2 linked regions of the Oryctolagus cuniculus genome follow. The protein of the gene in region 1 interacts with the protein of each later gene in a pairwise test. Links are inferred from orthologs where the notes say so. Each region holds a gene or a part of one and is shown on either strand. Other genes may lie near its edges.

What was found. The genes of interacting proteins can lie anywhere in the genome.
Region 2: the proteins of TECR (region 1) and HACD2 interact in binary tests that used the Homo sapiens proteins (3 or more experiments, as listed by UniProt). The link is inferred for Oryctolagus cuniculus from reciprocal best matches to the Homo sapiens genes TECR and HACD2.

What each region holds. Positions count from the first base shown.
Region 1 is NC_091447.1:63,163,671-63,168,073, reverse strand, and holds the start of TECR (very-long-chain enoyl-CoA reductase), read right to left. Parts: upstream 2,837-4,403; 5' UTR 2,190-2,836; coding exon 2,010-2,189; intron 1,658-2,009; coding exon 1,606-1,657; intron 1,465-1,605; coding exon 1,420-1,464; intron 1,334-1,419; coding exon 1,230-1,333; intron 1,148-1,229; coding exon 1,032-1,147; intron 948-1,031; coding exon 842-947; intron 765-841; coding exon 692-764; intron 610-691; coding exon 566-609; intron 485-565; coding exon 427-484; intron 343-426; coding exon 254-342; intron 147-253; coding exon 101-146; intron 17-100; coding exon 1-16. UniProt on the Homo sapiens protein: Involved in both the production of very long-chain fatty acids for sphingolipid synthesis and the degradation of the sphingosine moiety in sphingolipids through the sphingosine 1-phosphate metabolic pathway.
Region 2 is NC_091435.1:79,737,113-79,740,810, forward strand, and holds part of HACD2 (very-long-chain (3R)-3-hydroxyacyl-CoA dehydratase 2), read right to left. Parts: intron 3,589-3,698; coding exon 3,471-3,588; intron 1-3,470. UniProt on the Homo sapiens protein: Catalyzes the third of the very long-chain fatty acids (VLCFA) elongation four-step cycle (condensation, reduction, dehydration, and reduction).

The DNA.
Region 1 (4,403 bases):
AGGGAGAAGAGGGCCACTGTGGGGCAGAGCGGGCTGTCAGGGGCCGCCCGGCCGTGGGGGGGGGGGGGGGCTCCCCGCCGGGCGCCGGCCGAGGCCTCACCTGGGAGACACTGGGTCATGATGGCGAAGCCGATCCAGGAGCCGACCTGCGCAGAGATGGCGGCTGAGGGCGGGCCGCGGTCCCCGTCCCCAGATCCCGCCAAGCCCCCGCCCGCTGCGCTGCGCTGCGTGGGAGCCGGGGCGGGGGGCTCACCTCGTAGGTGTAGTTGGGACAGGACACCAGCAGGAAGAGCCACGTGAAGGGGTTCTTGGTGGGGTACGGGATCTTCCTGGTCTTGGACCCTGGCGGCAGGATGGAAGGGCGACTCGGACCCCGCCCCCGGGCTCAGGGGAGCGGGCCCGGCCCCGCCCCCGCCCGCCACTCACCGGCCGGCCGCAGGTCCCGCAGGGCCATGTGGATGGAGAAGTTGCCGAGCTGGCACATCTGTCAGGAGCAGCAGGGTCGGCCGAGCGCCCCAGCCCCCGCCGCCACCCACCACCCACCACCCGCCCCCAGCCTCCTTACCACGAAGATGGCGAGCGCCAGCTTGATCTGCTGAGCTCCGTAGGCTGCAGGGAAGCAGGGTGGGGTGGTCGTGAGGGGAGCCCAGGGGGAGGGGCTGGGGCGCGGGGACGGGCCCGGGGCACTTACTGGGTGGCGTGTAGAGGGGGTGGTTGATGTAGTAGGCCATCCACGCAGCGAAGCCCCAGTAGTAGGTGCAGTTCTGCAAGGCAGCGCGCAGGGTTGGGCCAGGGGCGGGGCCGGGGGGCGCGGGCGGGCGGACGCGGGCGGGGCTCCCACCTTGAAGATGTTGCGCAGCGGCATGGTGCCGTGCGAGAAGCGGTGCACGAAGAGCGTCTCCAGCAGGCGCTTGATGTAGTGGAATGAGTGGCAGATGCAGGCGAGGCTGCGGGGGGAGCCGGCTCAGCGCGGCTGGCGCCCCCGCCGTGCCCCGCCCCACCCCGCCGCGCCCCGCCCCGCCCCCACTCACTGCACCACCGTGTGCCGGCTGGACGTGAAGTCGTATTTGTGGCCATAGATGAAGGGCACGCGGAAGTAGAAGAGCAGGTAGATGAAGAGCGGCCCCGCGTACTCCGTCAGGAAGACCTGCGGGCATCGGCGCGTGAGTGGCCCCGCCCCGCACACCCCCCCCCCCCCGGCGGAGGGCGGGGCCGCGGCGCACACTCACCGTCACCCAGCTGATCTGCGCGCCCAGGTCGCGGAAGTACAGCGTGGCCGTGGTGCCCACGGGCAGCTTCTGCAGCACGTCCTCGTCCTTCAGGGACTTGCCCTCTGCGGGGAGGGGGAGGGCGGCCGGGGCTCAGGGGCGGCCCAGGCCGGCTCCCCCCGCCCCCCAAGCCCGCGACAGCTGTACTCACTGGGGTCCAGGCGGAGGGACTGGCGGGCGGGGTACCACTGCGGGTCTGCGGGAGGGAGGGGGACAGCCAGCTCAGACGCGGCCTGCGGGGCCTGGCCTCAGGCCAAGGAGTGCCCAGCGCAGGAGCTTGGCGTCGGAGCCCGGCCTCCCTGGGCCGCCGGGGGAGCACCGCGGGGCCCTGACTCACGGGTCTTGGTGAAGAGGTTCTTGATTTCTGCGATGGTAGCCTGGGGCTCCACCTGCGGAGGCACCGCACCGAGTCAGCTTTGGGGGAGCAGAGCCTGGAGACCAGGCGGGGCTGGGCTGGGGGCCTGCCAGGGCGGGGACAGCTGTGGGTCCTCGCTGGGAAGCCAGGGGGCGGCTCTGTCTCCTCTCCACCCCCCCCCCCCCGGCTCCCAGCCCCTTCCCCCCAGGCTCCACCTCCTTCCCAGGCCCGAAGCCACAGCTGCCCACCGTACCCCAGGTGGGGACAGCGCCACTCGTGGGCCCTCGGGAGGGCAGGGGGTGGGGCACGAGCAGGAGGGCTGGACAGCGCCCCCGGAGCAGGTCCCAGGCCTTGTGCCCTTGGCCGGCGCAGCTGGTGCGGCCTACCTTGTCCAGGAAACACAGCTTCTCCCTGGTCTTGGCGTCCAGGATCTCCACCTCAAAGAAGAGAACGGCCTTTTTAGGTTTCTTGGCCGTCTTGGGGGGCGCAGGCCTGGGGAAGCCGTTGAGGCTGGGGCCCAGGCTCGGGCTGGGCTCCCGGGTCACCAGGCTCAGGCTGAGGTCCATGCCACCCACCACACACGGCCCTGCTGTCCTGCTCTGCACGCCCAGGCCAGTGGCCCCAGCTGCCGGCCGTCAGCCCCCACCACCGCCCTCCCCACGCTCAGCCGCTCTGGGCCGGGCCTGGCCAGGCGTGATCAAATTCTGCCGCGGTGCTGGAAGGGAGCCCGCGCCAGGCCCCGGCCCCGGCCCCGGCCCAGCACTGCCGGCCTCTGTGCCAGATGTAATCCGAGTGGTACCAGAGTGTGGCCCAGCTAAATATAAAACCGCCCCAGGGAGCCCCCCAGGAGCCAAGCCCCAGACCCCGGGGTCGCTGCGAGCCCCAGACAGGCTTCCAAGTGCACAAGGAGACCCAGGGCTGGGGGGTCTGGGGCTCGCCAGAGGCCAGAGGAGGAGGGTGAAGCCGGCTCAGGCCCCCGCACCCCGCACCCCACTCCCAGCTCCCAGCTCCCAGCTTGGGCCCAGAGCAGTCACTGGGCCTGGAGACTCTCCAGCTATTTTGAGAATCCATGAGACGGCTCATGCATTTCCCCTTCTGAGTTGCAAAGGGACATTCGGGATTATTCTCCTTGTGCATCCGTGTTCCCAAGGAGGTGACAGATTCCGGGGTCACTGTGCACAGGAGCAGGGCCGCTCAGGCAAGCGCCCCCCCCCCCCAGGCTGGCACAGCCTCAGCCTTCGGCTCTGCTCCCCAGCTCTCTCTTCCTCTGCCCACCCTCCCACCTCCCCCACACTGCTCCCCAGGGACCTCATTCAAGGCCACCTTCAATCCAGGGCACACGTCCCACTGAACCCAGCCCAACGTCCAACACCACGCCCTCACCCAGGTTCTATTCTCCCCAGACCCCGAGCCGGAAGGGAGGGAGCCCCAGGGACTAGGCCCACCACCCCAGTTGTCAGAAAGGGGCAGTCTCGGGGCCCCAAGAGAGACTGATTTGTGCACTCCACGTGTGGGTGCGCCGCTCCCAGGCCTGCTGAGCCCCTGTGGCCCACCCTGGGTCCTGCCCTGCCCTGGTGGCCATGTTGGAGCATGAGGCCCACACCAGGGTGTGGGGAAGGGCGGGGGCACGCAGAGCGGGCACAGTGGTATTAATAGCTGCCCGGCCCCGGGGCGGGCAGTGCCCACACATACCTTCAGAGCCCTGGCCGCCCCGCCGCGGGAAGGCAGCACACGTCCACGGAGCCGGGAGGCTCCGAGTTCCTGCTGAACCACTCAATAGCTTAAAATACAACCAGCCCCTCTGGCTGCCCTGGCCAGCTGCTGCAGGGCGGGCTGAAACCTAAGCCTCTCGCCCTGGCTCCGGGCGCAGAACCAGGGCCCGGCCGTCGGGGCAGGACTCAGGGCAGCTGGGAGAGGGGCCGCGCACACCGCCGCGGCAGCAGGAGCGTCCAGGCCAGCCGAGGGGTAAGCACCCCAGGGGCCAGAGGGATGGGAGGTGCCCCCCGGGCCAGGGCCCCAGCAGGAGAAGGGGCGGGGGGCACCTAGGACCCCGTGTGGCCCTGTTTCTGGTGCTTCTGTCCTTTCAAACTAGAGCAGGAAAGTCAAGTCTGCGCTGGGCCACGTGGGAGGCGGCAGAGGCATAGGGGGCGCCTGGGGTGGGCACTGGCAGGTGCCGGCCACGCACGCGCCGCCGGCCGGGGCTCTGCCAGGGCAGCAGCAGTGCCCCAGGCCCCAGGAAGCCATCACAGAGAATGCCAAGGTCCCAGGGCCTCCTAGGAGAGACCCCCGGCCCGGGCCTTCCCGACCCTGGGGCCCCCCACTGCTGCACACGCAGGCCCCAGACCTGTGGGGGGAGGGGCAAATCACAGCGAGGGCAGGGGGAAGGGGCTGTGGCCGGCAGGTGAAGGGGGGCCACAGGCAGGGGTGTGGCCCCACAGGCGCGGGACAAGGGCGAGGGCAGGGGCCTGGCGCGGCTCTGCGGTGACAGCGCCACCAGCCTGCAAGGAATTCTCACCCAAAGGCCCGAAATTCCAGGGCCCAGCCAGCAGCCACTGGTGGGGGCACAGGGTCAGGGCGTGGCCTGGCGGGGCTGAAGCCCACCCCATATGAGGGGCCCAGAGCCCCCGCTGAGGAGCAGGGCCCACTCCGCCCACTGTGCCGTGAAGACACTGCTGGCCGCGGCAGGAAAGACACACAGACAGACAGACAGGACCTGCTGCTCTCCAAGCCCTGGCTCGGGCAGAGGTGAGCAAATGAGCGAGCCCCAGGGCCTTTGCACA
Region 2 (3,698 bases), on another chromosome or scaffold:
AACTGAGAAAACTAGCTTCCAGGAGAAAGTAGCAGAGAGCAGAGATGAGAGATGGAGCCAGAACTCCTGAGCCCCCTGTGGTCCTCCAGTCCAGGTTCAAGGCCATTCCTGTACTCCACGGGAAGTCCTATATGCTTCTTTACAGCCTTCTTGATGGGTAAGTTAGTTGAGGCTTCTGCCATCTCTGGTCAACAGCTCTAATGTAATCATCCAGCCAGGGAGCTCTCCCACTCCCTGTCAGCAATGGCTCAACCTCCACAGCACCCTTCGTTAGCCAAATATGTATGTGGGAACTTCAAAAAGTTCATGGAAAATGGAATTTAAGCTAAGTTTGTTTGGTAAAACAAAACTGAAAGCCAGAACATTTTGAAGTACCTCTATACTTATTTAAAATATTACCTGTGGGATAACTTGGAAAATTAACTATCAAAAATACTCAACACATTCTTGGATGAATATGCAGAGAAAAAAATACCAGGAATTATGACCATTTTATAAAAAGCTAGTGCTGTGGCCTAATAGGCTAGGCCTCCACCTGTGGCGCCGACATCCCATATGGGTGCTGGTTCGAGTCCCAGCTGCTCTACTTCCGATCCAGCTCTCTGCTATAGCCTGGGAAAGCAGTAGAAGATGGCCCAAGTGCTTGGGCCCCTGCACCCAGGTGGAAGACCCAGAAAAAGCTCCTGCCTCCTGATAAGCCCAGCTCCAGCTGTTACAGCCATTTGAGGAGTGAACGAGCAGATGGAAGATCTTTCCCTCTGCCTCTCTCTCTCTCTCTCTCTGTAACTCTGCCTCTCAAATAAATAAAATCTTAAAAAAAAAAAGCCATGTGATCTTATCATCAACTCAACATATCTTTGTACCCATACACATTTTGCAAAAACTCATTTCGTCTCCTCAGACAGTAGGCATCTTCTTGTTTTATACTACTACATGTCCATTTGCATTTGCTTAAGACTTTCTCAGTCGTTTATAAAGCAAAGTGTTATGTTTTCCTAAGAAGATGTGAAGTTTGATATGAGTGATTTCTACTTTCTTTTTAAGCAAATTCTGTAGCTGATGCCCTGCCTTCGTTTTCTCCTCCTGTAAACAGGATATACTGTCAGGCACCATGCATTCACACCACCACAAGTATCTAATTCTGACCCGATGTACACTGGGGGGCTGGGGTGGGCAGGGGACAGACTCCTTGACCTGCTGCACAGGAAGCAGTTTCAGCAACCTTGCACTACCGCGGTCTGAGGGATTCCTGCTGCCATGGACCCATGTTGTGCTCATTCCCTGCATGGGTCTGGAGTCTTCGCTTCCTTATACACAGCTCTCTTCCCAAAATCAAATCCAGGATTTGTCACCTAATTGCTTCTTAGTAGGGATGAGATAAAACCAAAAATCCAAAAATAGTTTCTTAAATCCCTATTAAAAATCCGATAGGGAAAAACAGTATAATCTCTCAAAGTCTAAGACTTGCTTCCTGAATGGATTTTGTCTCCCACTGTTTAATGCCCCTACCTTCCTTGAGATGTACTTAATTTTTTTTTAAATCATACTTCCAACATTACAAAGTCATAAAAGGATAGAGTCTCCTGGGGCTGGTGCTGTGGCACAGTGGGTTAAGCCTCCACCTGCAGTGCTGGTGGAGTACTTTATAAAAAGCCAGTTCTGTGGCCTAGTAGGCTAGGCCTCCACCTGTGGCGCTGACATACCATATGAGTACTGGTTCGAGTCCCAGGTGCTATACTTCCAATGCAGCTCCCTGCTAATGGCCTGGGAAAGCAGTGGAAGATGGCCCAAGTGCTTGGGGCCCTGCACCCATGTGGGAGTCCTGGAAGAAGCTCCTGGCTTTGGATCAGCCCAGCTCTGGCCATTGCAGCTATTTGGGAGTGAACCAGTGATGATCTCTCTCTCTCTCTTTCTCTCTCCTTCTCTCTGTATCTCTGCCATTCAAATAAAAAATAAATAAATCTTTTAAAAAGTAAAAAGACAGAATCTCCTTTAAATCATGGAAGTGTTCCCACTGGGCACAAATATTGTGCAGCTTCTGAGGGTCTGACCCAAGCGGCTCCTCTGCAGCTCGAGGCAACTGTGTCGGCCAAGGCGCTGAGACACCAGGTGCTAGCAGTCACCCTGCCCCCACTAAAGAAAGCCAAGCTCTGAGATTAACAAATGGCTCCACCAGGATTTGCTGCCATTTCTTAGACTCAGACTGTTAGGTCAGGAGGAGACTTTGCACATCAACTTTAACCTACTGAAGGTGGCTTCACAGAGTAAGCTGATTAGAAACAGCACACTCGCAATGAGGGTACTCGGAGTCTGAGCTGGAAGTGGGTGTCATCACGCCACCTCCTAAATGCCGACCGACAGCACGAAAATCCCTCTGCATTCTAAGAGAAAACAAAAAACCCCAAACTATACCTTTTTGCTTTTGAAAGTGAAGGTGCGCAGTAGTGGCGTCGTATCTTACTTAATGGAGGTAAACAGTTTGTTAACAATGACTCCATAGTTCAGGCTCTAAAAGTTGCGCCTGAGGTATAAACATGAGGGAGGGCCAAGTGGAGGGAAACTGCAGCCCAGCCCCTCCTGCACCCTGAGGATCACCACCCCACGGCGCCAGGGGTGCCCCAAACTGCCACCCCTCCCCTCCTAGAGTCTCCTGGCCAGAAGAGGGACATGCGCCCCACGCCTCAGCAACTAGGTACCTCGCATCATCAGCAAGAGTCTAAGTAGGGCCAACCTGAACCCTTCCCTGGAACTGCCTGTGACACTAGGGGCTGAGGGACACGGACTTGGCACCTGCTTCCTGCCCCAGGGAGAAAGCCCTTTGCGGCAGCAGAGCCCAAGGCCAGCATTCAGAGGGAAGCAGGAGAGCTGCATGGTTTGAGTGTGGCAATATCAAACCCCGGGTTCTCATTCTTTTGCTGCTTCTTGGACACTGTAAATTCATCCTGTATCTTTATCAACCACAAAGCGAGTGTGTGCCTCTTTTGCATAAAATCATATGAATTGGGTTTCTGCCCTATACTTACCCCAGGAGAGAGAACCAGATATACATTGTCCTTAATAAGGAAAATCACAGAACTTGTTGAAACAAATTCTTTTTTATAATTTGGATGCCCACGTCTCACTCCTAATGTCCTACAGCTATCAGCTGTGCTTCCTCCACTGGGTAGCCCCTCAGGGATCTGCGTTTACCAACACTTCCCTAGGACAGCCCTAGAATGTTTTTAAATTCCACTATAGCCTTGCTTCATTTGTTTTCCAATAAAAGTTGAATCTGAAATATATTCCAAGTAACACAAATGGAATTTTCCCTTAATTGGAAATTTTAAAAAAGTCATTATAATATGCTATGAGACAAAAATTAAAATTTAAAGCCAATCCAACAGAGCTATGGCTACTTCCATATAATTTAGTAGCACGTTGTTTACCTTATGACAATTGAATCAGCAACAATAACAAGTCTCAGGACCTACCTCCAATAAGGCTCCAGTTTGGAAGAATTTCAAAGGCTTTTCAATGGAGTAATAAAGGCTGTGGTAGCTCCCCTTAGCCAGGTACGCTCGGACCAGACCAACCGCTATAACCAGCCACCTGATAAACGAGAAAAACATAATCAGGGACGAAAAATGATACACAGAATTTAAGGTAACATGAAGAAAGGGCAATGGCAGGTGGTGCTGAAGAGGACCTCAGCCGTCAGG